4 linked regions of the Oryctolagus cuniculus genome follow. The protein of the gene in region 1 interacts with the protein of each later gene in a biochemical or structural test. Links are inferred from orthologs where the notes say so. Each region holds a gene or a part of one and is shown in the gene's direction. Other genes may lie near its edges.

Region 1 (3,500 bases):
TTGAGTATACAGTGTGGTTATGTAAAAGCTGCTTCTTGAAGCAGCCATTGTACTCCACTCTGCAGGAGAATCATGTTTGCTTACTTCCTTTTTTGTCATACAGAATATTGAAAACTCTACTCAAGGGTTGAGACTTAATAAAATTAACAAATTGTGCTTTTCATCAAGGACATTCTTTTTTTTTTTAACTTTTATTTAATGAATATAAATTTCCAAAGTACAGCCCATGGATTACAATGGCTTCCCCCACATAACGTCCCTCCCACCCGCAACCCTCCCCCCCCACTCCCTCTCCCCTTCCATTCACATCAAGACTCACTTTCGACTCTCTTTATATACAGAAGATCAGCCTAGCATACATTAAGTAAAGATTTCAGCAGTTTGCTCCTACACAGAAACATAAAGTGAAAAATACTGTTTGAGTACTAGTTATAGCATTAAATCTCAATGTACAACACACTAAGGACAGAGATCCTACATGAGGAGTAAGTGCACAGTGACTCCTGTTGTTGACTTAACAAATTGACACTCTTGTTTATGGCCTCAGTAATCACCCTAGGCTCTTGTCATGAGCTGCCAAGGCTATGGAAGCCCCCTGAGTTCACTGACTCTGATCATATTTAGACAAGGCCATCGCCAAAGTGGAGGTTCTCTCCTCCCTTCAGAGAAAGGTACCTCCTTCTTTGATGACCCGTTCTTTCCACTGGGATCTCACTCGCGGAGATCTTTCATTTAGGTCCTCCCCCCCACCCCCCCCGAGTGTCTTGGCTTTCCATGCCTGAAATACTCTCATGGGCTTTTCAGCCGGATCCACATGCCTTAAGGGCTGATTCTGAGGCCAGAGTGCTGTTTAGGACATCTGCCATCTCATGTTGGATCATTCTCTCCCTTTTTTATTCTCTCAGCTAGTATTTGCAGACACTATTCTTGTTTATGTGATCCCTTTGGTTCTTAGTCCTATCATTATGATCAATTGTGAACAGAAATTGATCACTGGGACTAGTGAGATGGCATTGGTACATGCTACCTTGATGGGATTGAATTGGAATCCCCTGGTATGTTTCTAACTCTACCATTTGAGGTAAGTCAGCCAAGGACATTCTTAAGTGAAACTGGCATTGTCCAGAGAAATCTTTGGAAATATTTGGTCACTTCCCATTATTATTTTCATACTTAATATAAAGAGATTAACCTGAAGACCTAAACCCAAAATTGTAACACTGGGAAGATGAGATTTTTAGGAACATCTGAAGTTGCTATGTTGGAAGACAAACTCTTATTTAAGAGCTAATATATGGGGCCAGTGCTGTGGCATAGTGGATAAAGCCGCCACCTGCAGTTCTGGCATCACATATGGGCACCGGTTCAAGACCCAGCTGCTCCACTTCCCATCCAGCTCTCTGCTATGGCCTGGGAAGGCAGTACAAGATGGCCGAGTACTTGGGCCCCTGCACCCATGTAGGAGACCTGGAGGAAGCTCCTGGCTTCTGCTCAGTGTAGCTCTGGCCATTGCGGCTATTTGGGGAGGGAACCAGCAGATGGAAGACTTCTCTCTCTAACTCTTGCTTTCAAATAAATAAATAAATCTTAAAAAAAAAAAAAGAGCTAACATAATACATTGTTTTATTGTCTTATAGGTGCTATACTTGGTAGATCAGAAACTCAGGAGTGTCTTTTCTTTAACGCTAATTGGGAAAGAGACAGAACTAATCAAACTGGTGTTGAACCCTGTTATGGTGACAAAGATAAACGGCGGCATTGTTTTGCTACTTGGAAGAATATTTCTGGTTCCATCGAAATAGTGAAACAAGGTTGTTGGCTGGATGATATCAACTGCTATGATAGGTAAGGATGCATTTTATTTGTTAAGATAGTCTTAAGTAATTCTCATCACTGTCCCCTTTTTAAAGGAGAAAAAAAGATTATGAAGAGTTATGATATATTCTGTTGATAAAATATATTTAAAGAAGTAAGATAAACATGGTATACTTATATTTATCTTTGATATTTTTGAATAATCTAAGAAATGAGAATTTTTAGAAAAGAATCACTTTCCCTACATTGTTAGGTCTTTACTTTTTAATGGCAATTTTAAGGAAGAAAGGACTTTTAAAACCACTTTAAAAGAGAGTGTATCTGTTGGAAAATCTATCCTCTTGGAGAATAAAACCTAATTGTAGTATTTAATTTTAAGTTTCCTTCATTATGTATCTGGAAGAAATTGATTTTGTTACACCATGCCCCCTTTTTTTTCTTGTGGAGGAGGCCTTTGTTCTTTACCCCAAGAGACATTTTAACTTGACATTCAGAATTACATCAGAACACAGAGTCCCTATAGAAAGCTACATTTTATTTAATGTACATTGTTTGAGTTGTTTTATTCTGTACTGGAAATAAAATACAGTGGTCATGTTATTGACTGCCTATGTTCTCTCTGTAAAGAGTCCCATAGATGTTGGGCTGATCGCTTCAACTGTTTGGGCCACAAGATTTCCACTGCGGTGGGTGCTGAAGACTGACATTTGCACCCAGAAAGTGTTGCTGTATACACTGGATTGTAGATACTGTGGGTCTACTTTTAGGAGCCTGAATTGTTATCTTTAAATTGTGATTGGTTAGCTGTAACGGATAGAAAAATGCATTTACTGAGCCCATAAAAAATAGTTCTACTTTTGTTGAGAGATTAAAACAGTCATTTAGATATATATTTAGTTTTTAGGATATACTTTTAAGTCTGTGAGTTTCCCAGGGATTATTCCTCTATAATTATGTTTTAGCTGCATTTCTGATTAACCCCTCTACTAACAGAAATGGTCATCGGGTGATATGTGGTATCCTGAAAGGTAAATAGAAGAAATTCAGAGGGGAAGGGAGATGAAATTTGAGAGTCATGTTTGTCCAAAACTGTCTTCATGAGTTGAAATCAAGAATTCTTACCTTTTGTGGTGAAAAATTACTAAAAACAGTATTTCATTTATGTGAACTGCAGGCAGTGGTGAAAAGGGTACTGAGCCATTTTCCACTGGAGATCTGGATCGGGGAGTGCATTATTCAGTGCAAATGTTTGCTGTTGGAATGATAATTACTTCAACAGCTTTGTTTTGGGGGATTGAAGGCTGATTTAAAAATAAGTGAAATTTTGGTTTTATGCTCTGGTTTTGATTGAACAGTAATACAGATAGTAAGAGCAAGAAAAGTCAAAGAATGTCAATGTATGAAAGAAAAGGTAGTAATAAAAGATGAAATTGGATAGTGAAAGGTAATTCTTTTCAATTAGTTATTTAACTGTTCATCTACAATTTGAGGTGTGATTCTAAATATTTTTAAATTTATGCATTTATATTTATAAATTAATATTTAGCTTTGATTTGTTTTATCTTTTGGCAACTAGGTTTTTGTATACTCATAGGTTATATTTTAAAATTTCATTTGCTACAACTACTGTCTCCCTCATGTTTCTTGAGCTTTTCACTTAGGAGTTGAGTTCAAACTTATTCTAA
Region 2 (4,162 bases), on another chromosome or scaffold:
CTAGGGCAGGGGGGTGGAAGCGCCAGCGCCCCCCTCGGCGGCCGCGCGCCCCCGCCCTTGGCCCCACCCCGCTGCGGCTGCCCCCGGCGCGCCGTCCACACCCCTGAGCGCCGCTCCCGCCCGCTCGGGGATCCCCGGCGAGCAGTGCCGCCGAGGGGGAGGTGTTCGGCCGGGGCCGGGAGGGAGCCAGCAGGCGGCGTCCCCTTTAAAAGCCGCGAGCGCCGCGCCACGGCGCCGCCGCCGCCGCCGTCGCCGCCGGAGTCCTCGCCCCGCCGCGCTGCGCCCGGCTCGCGCTGCGCCCGCCGCTCCGGTTCCCACACCCCGCCGGGGATTGGCAGCCGCCGCCGGACATCAGCCGCCGCCGGCGACCCGAGCGCCCTCGAGGCGAGCGCCGCGCGGATTACTGGGCGCTGCGAGGCACCCGCGCACCGCAGACCCCTCGCGGGTTGGAGCACCCGGCCGTTGCGCGCCACAGCTCGGTGGCCTCGGCTGCCCGGGCCGCGCCGGAGCCGCGGACGGGCGCGCGGAGCGCCGGAGAGTGCGGAGCCAAGCCCGAGCGCCGCGATGCCGAGCACCTCCTGCCGGGGATCGGGGGCTCGAGACGTGCCAGCCGAGGTGTGATCGGACCCCAAGCCGGCCACAAAGGGCACTTGGCCCGAGGGCTAGGACAGCAGCGAGGGCAGAGCGCGGCCACCCGCTTCGGCGGCCCGGGACTCGGCTGGGCTCGCGGAGAATGCGCCCGAGGACGACGGGGCGCCGGAGCCGCGGCTGTTTCCACTGGCCAGCGCTGATGGGGGTGCGCTGGCGGCAGGCAGAGTGATGCGGGGGGGCAGCTCGCCGGGCATCGAGATCGCCGCTGTGCCCTTCCCCGGACCCGGCGTCGCCCAGGATGGCTGCCCCGAGCCATGGGCCGCGGCGGAGCTAGCGCTGAGCGCCCGACCCTCGCCCCCCGGAGTCCCGCAGGCGGCCCCGCGCGCGGCCACGCGTCCCGCGGGCGCTGGTGCCTGAGGACGACGACAGCAGCAGCCTTTCCTCTCTGCCTTCCCTTCCCTTCCCCGGCCCGCACTCCTCCCCCTGCTCGCTGTTGTTGTGTGTCAGCACTTGGCTGGAGACTTCTTGAACTTGCAGCCTTAACTTGCGCTGCTCCCCGCTTCGCGCCGGTGCCCGCGCCCCGGCGGAGCCGCCTCGCTGCCTCCGAGCCCCGCCGCGCTGCAGCCCTCTGCCGGGCCGAGCCCGGGACGCCGCGCCCTGCGCGAGGAGAGGGACTCGGCGGCCGGCGCCGGGAGGAGAAGCCGGAGGCCACGGGAAGGGAGCGGACGCCCGGTCCCCGCGCCAGGTCCCTGGGCCAGAGCTTTTTCCATGTGGAGGCTCTTTCAATGGACGTGTCCCCGCGGGCTTCTTAGACGGACTGCGGTCTCCTAAAGGTACGGGACGCGCGGGCCCCGGGGTGCGGGGCGGGCGCTGGGCTCGCGCGGCGGCGGCGGCGGCGGCGGACCCCCCTCCGGGGCGCGGCCGGGCAGGACGTAAACAGACCCCTCTCCGGGGCCACGTGCAGCCCAGCCCGGCGGGGGCGCCCCCTTTCCCCGCGCCCGCACGCTTCCGCCCCTCCTCCGCTCTTCCTCGATATATTATTAAGGCTGTTAACACTTAGATGATTTTTTTAAAAAATTAAAAAGTCAAAGAGCTGCCTTGGAGAGGATGGCCCCTGGGTTTCACCCGTTAGCTGCCAACCTGTACGCCGTGGCACGGCGCTGTCTTCATCAAGATTCTGGGGGAGACCCGCGCTCTCCATCAGAGCCCCGTCCCCCGTAGGAAAGCGCTGGGCGTTAGGGGTTCTCTCCGCCGGTTGCTAGAAGCGCTAGAGGGCCAGGGTCCCGCTCGCGCCGTGGGTTTCCCCGCTGGCACGTGCGCGCGTGGAGATCGGCCCTTTATGTAACGCCGGGAAGGTACCTGCGTACGCGACCGCACCGGGGGCTCGCGGGCGGGCGTGGAGCGGGGCGTCCCGACACCCAGCGGGCAGCCACCGCCAAGCGGCTTCAGAAGTCGTGGCCCTGAGTTTGCAGGGTCTGGAAGTGGTGAACTGTGGCTCAGGAAGTTCCGTGCCCCGGTTCTCAGGAAGTCACATGCGCGCGCGTTTATAGGCAAGGGAGCGCTCTGAGTTTGGCTAGGCGCGGCAGGGTGTCAGATCAAGCGGTGATCCCCCAGACTCCCTGCATGGCTGCCAGCTCTGGTGTGTGTGTGTGTGTGTGTGTGTGTGTGTGTGTGTGTGTGTGTGTATGGGAGGGGGGAGTGACAACCACTTAAGTTCAGTGGGGAGGGAGCGAGGGATAAGGCCAACCCCCAAATCAAGTATCAGACGGGCCCAGGCTGGGGTGGGAGAGAGAAAAGTGCTCTGGGTCAGGAACTTGGGGCCCTCCATTCCCCCACCCCACCCCAAACGTTAGAGCTGTGGCCGCTCTGACATAGCCAGCAAGTGCTGCAAGGCAGGAGGGCGCCCTGGAGGAGGAGGCGAGCGAGCGCAGCGGGAGCCCAGGCCGCGGGGGCGGGAAGGGAGAGGACTGGGCGGGGAACTCGGGTGACTCACGTCGGCCCTGTCCGCAGGTCGACCATGGTGGCCGGGACCCGCTGTCTTCTAGCGTTGCTGCTTCCCCAGGTCCTCCTGGGCGGCGCGGCCGGCCTCATCCCCGAGCTGGGCCGCAGGAAGTTCGCGGCGTCATCGGGCCGCCCCTCGCCCCAGCCCTCGGACGACATCCTGAGCGAGTTCGAGTTGCGGTTGCTCAGCATGTTCGGTCTGAAGCAGAGACCCACCCCTAGCAGGGACGCCGTGGTGCCCCCCTACATGCTGGACTTGTACCGCCGGCACTCCGGCCAGCCTGGCGCGCCCGCCCCGGACCACCGGCTGGAGAGGGCAGCCAGCCGCGCCAACACGGTGCGCAGCTTCCACCACGAAGGTAAGGCGAGGCGCGCGCCGCAGGGGCAGAGACGCGGGCGGGTTGCTACCCGCAACGCCGAGCACCAAGGCCGGCTGCGGGCATCCCTGGAGAGGCAGTTCAGCCAGAGCTCTGCGGATGCTGTCCCTCTTGCTTCCGTACCGACCTTTCTGAATCTGATTTTCAGGCACTGCTCGTGTGGCGGGCCAGCCAGGGATTCCCCCTTGGTCGGTCCGTACCCGTTTCCTGGCACGCAGCCAGGAGGGCGACTCCTCCTCCAGGAACCAGAGCGGAATCAAGGGATGGGGAAGACGAGGCTAAAAGGCATGCCCCTGGTCAGCTAAGCGTGCAGGAATTCCGCAGTGGGAGAAGGAGGAGGTTTGGGATTTCTTGAAGTCTGTTTGGAAGCCCTTGCTCCATAAATCTGTGTCTCCAGCTTAAGCCAGGGTTTCAAGCTAGACTGAGGCAAGGGCGGAATTCTCAGATAGTCTTGAAAAATCAAAGCCCAGGGCCCCCAAGTCTTCCTAATTTACAGTGGATCTGGGCCTGCGTTGGAAGATTTCGAATCCCTATCTAATCCCCGTGGGAGATCAATTCCACAATCAATCTTATTGTTTCCACAATGACTTTCTTGTCTCGTGCTTAAATCTGAGATAGGCTCAGAGTAGAGACAAAGCAAGCCTTCAGATAAAACCTTTTGCAGCAGCTGCCTGTCTTCCTTCACATGCATTGAAATGTGATTTTTTTTTTCTTTTATGATCCTGGATGTGGTTTTCCTAAGGTAGGATATTTCTGCTGGTTTCATCAGGAAGGCATTTAGTGGATTTGAAATGTCTTAGGGCAGCTATGGAGCTCTGTTGCACCTAACTTCTTAGCACCGTTAGTCAACTACATGCTACATTTCCATTCTTTTGTTCTTTTAAATGTGCCTTTGGCTTAATAGCTCTAAATACAGAATGCATTCCTGCGAATTCTAGAAAAGAGTGGAGTTACAGATCACAGAACAGCCACTTGCACTGACTGATGTTCCCTTTTCCTTGACGAAAACAATTTTCTCTCAGTGGGACGTTTTCAAGAACGATGGGTGATAATGAGAAGAAGTCCCAAAGGCAGGTCCCATCACACAAGCTACTTCTCATCCCAGCTGTCACAGTGAAGGGAGCTGGGAGCTGGTAGCACGTGTTCCAGCACATTTTGAAGTAAAGTGTTTTCTGAAGATCTGAGGATCAACA
Region 3 (4,298 bases), on another chromosome or scaffold:
TCAGGATCTCTGACATGGGCTACATGACATGGGCTACACTAGGTCTAACTAGTATACTGAACACAACACCAAATGCCTGCCCCGTCACATTTTTAAAAAATCAACAGTTAACTGACCCTTGTACCACCCTGAGCACATCCAGCGGGCTCCCTGCCACCACGCGGCTCAGCCACTCCCGTGTGAAAACGTCCCGTTGGCCTCTGGGACTGGAGCACGCTGGGGGCCACTTACTGCCCTCCGAAGCTCCCTGCACCATGCCACACTCGGCAGGGGGCAGCTCCATTTCCCAAGCTTGGCACCCACTTGGATCTTTTTCCCCCCTCCTCTTGCCTTGGGCTGGACCAATGCCCAGAGCCATTTCCTGCCCGCCCCCGAGCAGCTGGATGAGGACAGCAAGTTCCGTCCGGGTGTGGCCATTCAGGGTTTCTGGTCTCTCCCTTCCCCCCACTGGGATCTGTGACCACAGCCTGCTGGGCCCCTCCTGCATCTCTCTGTGTCCTCCCCCAGGAGCCCCACCAGCCTGGATCAATGTCAGCTTCAAATTCTCCCCAGCGTGGACCACCAGGCACACCTGCCAAGTGCTTTGAACTGTGCTCTTTCTTTGCTTTGCACCAAAGCCTCTTGTGATGGACATAGACAGAAACTGTAATGACACAGTCCCTGGGGTCCCTCGGGCCACATCAACTGGGATGCAGCTTGTCAGCCTCCTCTGGCCAGGGAGCCATCTCAGAGCGTCCCACCTTCTCTGCCTGCCCAGACTCCGCATAGCTCTGCTGGCTGATGGATGTGAAGCAGGCTGCCCACCCCCCCAACACACACACACACATGCAGACCAGAGACAGAGCTGGTCTGGGAGCTCCCAGGGGCTGGCAGGCTGCAGTGTGTTTGCAGGGCTACTGCAGAGCTGGAGGGTAGGGAGAGAACAAGGAGCTTCTTCCCCCAGCTCCAGCTCAGGAGGCCCAGAGGTGGGGAGGAGGCACCCAGAACAGAGACACCCATGCCTGTGGCTGCTCCTGTTGACCATCTTCCATCATCACAATTCCCCTCCGAGCAGGAGGCGCTGAGAACCAAAGTCAAAGCTGCTCCAGGTTCCATTCGTGGGGGCTGGCGTTGGAACCCCCATCCACCCTGACCCCGAGGTCCTCCTGGCCACATTATGTGACATGGGAATGGCAGTGCTGGGCAGGCAGCTCATTGGACAGACACAGGGGCGCGGTGCGGCCACGTGGCAGGTTCCCATTCCCAACCGAGCAGGCGCACACCGATTTGCCCTGAACTTGGGGTGTCCACTGCGGTCATTGCTATATTTGGAGGGCTTCTGGGCCTTATTTCCTGGCTTCTTTGTTCCTGAAGCCCAGGGGCTGGAGTGTCCCCTGAATGGAGCTGTCCGGGAAACCAGCCAGGACCCTAATTAGGGGCGACGACCGACCGGTCGAGGGGATTCTTCCCGGGAGGCCGTGTCCTTCCCACAGGCCCTGCGCTTTGCCACATGTTTACAGAACCTTCATTAACCGAGGGTCCCTGCCGATAACAGCTCCCCTCGCAGCTTCGTGGGGCCAGATAAGAACAAGCGGATGGAGTCCGGGCCCGCGGGGCTGGCGGCAGTACTCCTAGCGGAGTCAGCGGGATGACGATGCGGGCGCGCTCCTCCCAGGCCGCTCCCTGCGCGCGCTAAAGCCCCATGGTCTCCTCCAAGATGGGCCCCGGGTCGCTGTGGGTGGCCCTGCCCGTGCTGTCGCTGCTGTCCTGCTCCGGGCAGGGAAAGCCTCTGCAGAGCTGGGGACGGGCCTCTGGCGCGGGGAACAGCCGCGCCTCGCAGGGGGAGCCCCGAGTGGGGCCGCCGCAGGGCGCGCTGGATCTGCAGGTGTTCCTGGAGAACATGAAGATGGATTTCCTGCGCAGCCTCAACCTGAGCGGGGTGCCCTCCCAGGACAGGACCAGGGCGGAGCCGCCGCAGTACATGATCGACCTGTACAACAGGTACACCTCGGACAAGTCCTCCACCCCCGCCTCCAACATCGTGCGCAGCTTCAGCGTGGAAGGTAGGGAGGGCTTCGCGGGGGGGCGGGGTCTCCAGGGCTGACTGAGCTCGCAGGTCCACGCTTCAGGTGGTCATCGTTCAGGCTGCCGGGAAATGAAATGAAGAAGTGGCCTGTTGGTTTCTCCAGGCTCATTCCAGGGCTCAGCAGTCGCCCCCGCTTGCTGTGCAGAGTCCACTTCCCTGGCCCCTGGGCCAATGGCACACAGTAGGTGCTCAGGGGTGCCAGGTTTCCCTCCTCCCCCCCCCGCCCTTCCTCTGCTCTCCCTCTGGCCCCTGGGTATCCCCTCCTACTCAGAAGCAGAACACTTGTTAGTCTCCAGCTCCCTACCATACCACGGAGTTTCAAAAAGTCCCTTGTGAAAAGTGGACTTAAAAGTGCATTTTGGTGCAAAAAAAATTTTGAAATCCATGTAGCTTTTTCATAGTATGAGTTTTGCTAAGAAAGTTTTGAAGAGACGTCAGTTTTTTAAAAAATATTTTATTTATTTATTTACTTACTTACTTGCTTGAGAGGCAGAGTTAGAGAGAGAGATGTCTTCCATGTGCTGGTTCATTCACTAAATGGCCCCGCAATGGTCAGGAGTGTGTCAGGCTGAAGCCAGGAGCCAGGAGCTTCTTCCAGGTCTCCCACGTGGGTGCAGGGGCCTAAGCACTTGGACCATCTTCCACTGCTTTCCCAGGCCATAGCAGAGAGCTGGATGGGAAGAGGAGCAGCCAGGACTAGAACCGGCGCCCATATGGGATGTCAGCACTACAGGCCAGGGCTTTAACCCACTGCGCCACAGCGCCAGCCCCAAGGCACTGACACTTCTTACTGCTGCAGTCCTGTCTGAAGGGCTGCGGGGGCACAGGCCTCTCCCCTTCCGGATCTCAGCCTTGCAAACATCTAAGGGGCTCGCAGCTCAGCACCCAGGCCAGGCCAGGCCAGACCAGACCTGCCTGGGGAAGAGAGCATGTACAGGAGTCAGGGCCGCTCGCTGCGGTCACGGCTGCCTGCCCAAAGTGCTGGATTTCCCCATTGTCCGAAAGAGAAAAATCCAGATTCCACGTGAACGAGCCTGATTTGTAACACGCTGGCCTCCCTTTTGAGAAAGACAGACTCTGCAGCTCCCCAGGCCCTGGGTCCCGTGTTTGGAGCCCTCCTGGGATCCCAGCATTCCCCTCTGCTTCCCTGCACACAAGATCCCGGAGGGCCCAGGGAGGCAGGCTTTGGTGTGTGGAGGGAGCCTGTATGGGAGGCAGCAGGGCATGTGGGATGCAGAAGTCTTGACTAAGTGTCCACTGGGAGCCAGAGACCATGTCCAGGAGGTTGGAGGCACCGCTTTATCCGAGCCTCACCCTGGCTCTGGGAGGCAGGCAGGATGAGCCCCATTTCACAGATGAGGAAAGTTGAGGCACAGAGGGGCTTGGACTCCCCTTCCCAGCCCCAGTCTGTTGGATACCGACACCTGCCCACAGGGTTCTGGGAGAGCACTCCCTTCGCTGCTGCTGGTGCGTGGTAGGCGCTCAGAAACACCACTTCTCTCCCCTCGCTGTTAGTGAGCTGTGTTGTAGTAGACACAGGCTGATGGCTGAGGGTCAGCTCCCTGGAAGCAGGGATTGGTTTTTTAAAGGCAGAGCTACAGAGAGAGAAAGAGAGAGAGAGAGAGAGTCCACCGGCTGGTCCATTCCTCCAAATGGCTGCAATGGCCAGGGCTGGGCCATGCCAAAGCCAGGAGCCAGGAGCTCCATCTCGGTCTTCCACATGGGTGCAGGGACCCAAGCACTTGGGCCCTCTTCTGCTGCTTTCCCAGGCACATTGGCAGGGAGCTGGATTGGACGAGGAGCAGTCCAGCTTGAACCAGCACCCATATGGGATGCCGGCATCACAAGCAGAGGCTTAATCCTATATGCCCCAACAGCAGTCCCAGGAAGAGGAAAATGGAAGTGATTACTTATCTAAAAAACAGGCCCCGTTTTGCCTGATGTGACAAAGCCATGAGGCTAATAGATCTTTTCCCCACGAATACTGGAAAAAAAAAATCTGTTTTCACTGTGCTTTGGATTTACTACTCCAAAGGATTTATACACAGTGTAGACGCTGAGGTTTGTAACGCTGACTTTCACGTCCCCCTCCGAGGCTCTTTGCTGTAAATCCATGCCAGAGCATCTTCCCCTAAGCCTGACAATGAATGCCTTTAGTCCTTGTCCCCGTGTGAGGGTCCTCACCAGTTCAGTGCCTTTTGACAATGAGATGCCTTAAGTCCCAGTCATCAGG
Region 4 (4,084 bases), on another chromosome or scaffold:
AAAAACCATCGTAACCATCTTGGGCCATGAAGTAAAGGCCACACTCTAAGGATGAGAACTGAAGGGGTTATAGAAAGATGAAAGGAATCTGATTCCTTGGTGACTGAGGAGCTCCTCTATTAGCCTTTGACCATCCATCTCTAGTTCTTTACTGTGAATGAAGTACACTTCCATCTTAGCCTAATACATATAGAATTAAGTGTGTATCACTGCTCTAATCTTCCATCCTTAGCCTATTTTTCCCAGTAGCATCAATTTGTAGACTTTGCCCCACTCTCTATTCCTTAAATTTGAATGTTTATGTATATATATATATATCTTCCTTTTAAAAAATAAAAGATTTATTTATTTGAAAGGCAGAGTTACACAGAGAGAGTGAGAGGTCTTCCATCCGCTGGTTCACTGCCCAAATGTCCACAACAGCCAGAGCTGGGCCAATCCAAAGCCTGGAGCCAGTAGCTTCTTCCAGGTCTCCCACACAGGTGCAGTACCACTGGGTACTGCTTTCCCAGGCCACACCAGAGAGCTGGAACTTGAAGTAATGCCCATATAGAATGAGGACACTGCAGGCGGCCACTTTACCCATCAGGACACAGCACCAGCCCCTTAAATTTCTTAAAATTAAATAAGGCTTTTGTCAGCAACAATCCAGGAATCTTTTACTTAAGGTCCTGGGAACCATCTCTTCCCAATGTTAATATCAGGGAAAACAGTGCTCCTATCTCCTCTTACTATGGAAGTTAACCCAAGTGGTTTACACTAATCTTTACGCAACAGCTTGTCATACAGAGAGCAAAGTATTACTTTTCCTTTGCTAACCTGTATTAACTAACACAGAAGGCCACCCCAAAGGTGAACCATCAGAGAGTGGATAACAAATGGTGTTGTCAAGTCCTCTATGTAAGGACAAGCATGTTATGGTTTGTACCTACTTGGCTTATACGAGATTTTTCATTTTGGCAATCTCATCAATGGATTGCCTGTAACGTCCATCCCAGTCTAGTTTGATGCTCACAGAATAACAAAATTTTCTTTTCTATATTTGTGGAAATTTTGAGATGCCAAGATTCCTTTTAGATTTTTCCTCAGCAATATCAATTTCTTTACGTCCACTACCTTAACTAGCCTCCCTCCACCCCAACCTTACTTTTCCCAAGTACTTTCGCCGGTCAATAACTTGCGGCTTGCTGACCTCACAGTTTTCTCGGAACACTCAACGAGAGAACACAACCGATCGGCTGTGAGAACCACGACTCCCAGCATTCCGAGCGCTCTGAGCGCGGCGCACTTCCTCTTCCGGCCCGGAGGCTGCGCGAACCGGAAGTGCTGTTCTTAGACCGCAGCGCGGAGATTGATTCACCTTCACCTGGGCAGAGCCCCAGCTGAACCGAATAGGAGCGGTAAAACATGAACGGAAGAGTGGATTACTTAATCACCGAGGAAGAAATCAATCTTACTAGAGGACCCTCAGGTATGTGCGGAGCGGGCTGTCTTTGGGAGTAGGGGACTTGAGGTGTGCCTTTGCAGAGCAGACCCTCTTTTTGTTGCGCCGGATTCACCTGGCCTCAGAGTAGGCAGGCCCCAACGTAGGAGGTTAGGAATGTTGAAAGAATATATTGATATCCATCATTGGCTAGATGACGGGTCGGATTACAACACGTATTTCTAATCTGGAAAGATTTCTTTTTGCTCATGGTGCTAGAGAAGCCTAGAATAAAACCCGCTGTTTAGCCAGCATTCCGTGGACACACTCTTCCTTCTATTACCTGGTCTCTCCTTGTTCCTTGGAGGATCGTTTAGCCAAATTGGGAACGTAAACTATGTGACCGCTATATTCAAAAAGCTGTACCTATGGAATTTGTATTTATTAAATAAAACGATTCTTAAAAAAACAAAAAAAAACAATGTGAACTCTAAATAAATGCACAGATGTTCTGGTGCCAGGATTCCTTCCTCATTTCTGAGAAATTAGTATATAGTGTCAACTAGACTGTTAAAGCAGGAAGACGCTTTAGAGATCTGTTACAGGAGTTTCCAAACTTGGTTCTGCTACAAAACTATCCAGGCTTTGTTTTTGTTTTTGCTTTTTTATGCTAGTATAAAATTAGAATGCTGATTTCTAGTTCTCATTTCTAGAGATTTGGATTCAATACGAATTTGTTTTTAACAACTTACATGATTCTGATACAGTCAGATCCTTACACCTTCTGTACTCCCCCCTCCCCCAGATATTCCTTCCCTAGACTGAGCTGTTGACATTGCTACTCACTGCCTGCCTTGGACTTGGTTGGCTTTTTTTTTTTTAGCAGTTGTTGAGTTTATTAAGAGCTTTAACCATGGAATTGTACTATCTAGGCACAAAGCTTGTTATCTAACCGCTTACTGGTTCTTTGGTGTATTTTTTTCCACTGAGTGACATTGGTGCCTTAGTTGCTCATCTGTTAATTGGAGGTGATTATAGAATACAATATATAGTTTTTGAGAATGAAATTAATTAATTGATAAAACATCTAAATATATTTGTAAAATAATTAGAGCATTGTCTGACACACAGTAAGCAGTATGTATTTGCTACTACTGTTATTTTTATTGGGTGAATGGCTAGATTTGCATGGTAAATGTTATTGAAAAAGACCCTGTAGAAATCATAAGCCCCATGTGCTCCATCTAAAAATGTTTCTAAAATCCTTTTTTCTGTTCCCAGTGCCACTATCTATAATAGTTAATCACTTTTCTCATCTGGAATTTTGCAGTAGCTTAATCACCACTGACAGATTATCCTTTATAAAATATGACTTGCAGAACTACCTATATTTTGTGTCTTTCTTTTTGTTATATAAAATTGGAAGCTGGTCTTATGGAAATATAATTAAGCAGAGTAACTAAGCCCCTTGGATTCTTTCTTCCTATTTTATAAAATTTTTTTATTTCTCTTACTCAATACTTACCGACTTTAAAGCTAATATGGAAAGCTAGTTTTCAACCAGAATCTGTTTTTCTGTACCTTTCTGCCACTGGTAATTGTTTTTCATATAAGGCTAATTAAAACTGTGCTAGTTCCTTTTCTGATTGCCCTGCACTTATTTTCCCTTGCTTCTACTTTGCCTGGTCTTCCTTTAGCCTAAATATCTTGTTGTAACATTACTTTTTGTGATATTTGAGTTTGGGTTCTTGATTCTTGCTTAAGAATTTAATGTACTTGGCAGTGACATCTGCATCATTTCTAGAATCTCCCAACTAGAGCTGAGCAGAATCTTATTCTGGGCACTAAATAATTTAAATTCAGTATAATATCACTAAATCATTTTTGGCATTTGCAAAGCAGTGTTGCCTAATATTTAGTTCACCATTCACCACAACTTCTGAGTCTGTTTGTCTTGCAGATATAAAGTTCCTAGTGTTTGTATTTTTCAGAAGCATTGGAGTTAGGGCAAACTTCATGGGATTAATTAAAAGAAATTCTATCTAGCTAATATATTGCAACCAAAAGTGGATTAGTTTTTGTATTGTATGTGAGTTTATCCACAGGGTGGTTTCTTGAATTTTCCTAAACATTTTCATGTCTTAGTCACAGAGCCAGGGAACTTATGAGGAGGGTCAAACCACAACTTTAGGATTGAATATGGATAAAAACAGTTATTTGCAATTTGGTTTGTTCTATTAGCAAGGAAAGGTTTCAAGTTCCTATTTATTTCTAGAATTGGTATACTGGTATGTGATACTCTTGGTCTCAGATCTAATTCAGCTTTTCTTCATAGTGTTGTCATGAAGATAAACCACGAAGAAGTCAATAATCATCGTTAGAGTCCTCTATGTAATTTTTGTAATTCCATCGGGATCTTTCTTTCTATAGGAAGAATATGAAAAGTCTCTAACTACGTATACATTTTTTACAGTGAGCAGCATGGTTATTTGTCTTTATACAGCTTCCTACCCTAAGACCTCATCATTTAATGAAGGTAACTACAAGAAAGTGTGTACTGCTCTGCTTTTGTGCCAGTGATCTGGGATATTTCCACTGTTTATGCCCATTTTGCAAGGCAAATTAATCTGTTCCATCTAATCCTCCTTACTACAAGGAAAA

The links. The genes of interacting proteins can lie anywhere in the genome.
Region 2: the proteins of ACVR2A (region 1) and BMP2 form a complex in vitro, tested with the Homo sapiens proteins (3 studies listed by BioGRID and IntAct, with this or other methods). The link is inferred for Oryctolagus cuniculus from reciprocal best matches to the Homo sapiens genes ACVR2A and BMP2.
Region 3: the proteins of ACVR2A (region 1) and GDF2 form a complex in vitro, tested with the Homo sapiens proteins (2 studies listed by BioGRID). The link is inferred for Oryctolagus cuniculus from reciprocal best matches to the Homo sapiens genes ACVR2A and GDF2.
Region 4: the proteins of ACVR2A (region 1) and SYNJ2BP form a complex in vitro, tested with the Homo sapiens proteins (2 studies listed by BioGRID and IntAct, with this or other methods). The link is inferred for Oryctolagus cuniculus from reciprocal best matches to the Homo sapiens genes ACVR2A and SYNJ2BP.

What each region holds. Positions count from the first base shown.
Region 1 is NC_091434.1:94,321,550-94,325,049, reverse strand, and holds part of ACVR2A (activin receptor type-2A), read left to right. Parts: intron 1-1,637; coding exon 1,638-1,845; intron 1,846-3,500. UniProt on the Homo sapiens protein: On ligand binding, forms a receptor complex consisting of two type II and two type I transmembrane serine/threonine kinases.
Region 2 is NC_091442.1:31,668,136-31,672,297, forward strand, and holds the start of BMP2 (bone morphogenetic protein 2 precursor), read left to right. Parts: upstream 1-1,362; 5' UTR 1,363-1,424; intron 1,425-2,601; 5' UTR 2,602-2,608; coding exon 2,609-2,951; intron 2,952-4,162. UniProt on the Homo sapiens protein: Growth factor of the TGF-beta superfamily that plays essential roles in many developmental processes, including cardiogenesis, neurogenesis, and osteogenesis. Induces cartilage and bone formation.
Region 3 is NC_091446.1:80,860,042-80,864,339, reverse strand, and holds the start of GDF2 (growth/differentiation factor 2), read left to right. Parts: upstream 1-1,498; 5' UTR 1,499-1,681; coding exon 1,682-2,042; intron 2,043-4,298. UniProt on the Homo sapiens protein: Potent circulating inhibitor of angiogenesis. Signals through the type I activin receptor ACVRL1 but not other Alks. Signaling through SMAD1 in endothelial cells requires TGF-beta coreceptor endoglin/ENG.
Region 4 is NC_091451.1:16,186,463-16,190,546, reverse strand, and holds the start of SYNJ2BP (synaptojanin-2-binding protein), read left to right. Parts: upstream 1-1,284; 5' UTR 1,285-1,407; coding exon 1,408-1,471; intron 1,472-4,084. UniProt on the Homo sapiens protein: Regulates endocytosis of activin type 2 receptor kinases through the Ral/RALBP1-dependent pathway and may be involved in suppression of activin-induced signal transduction.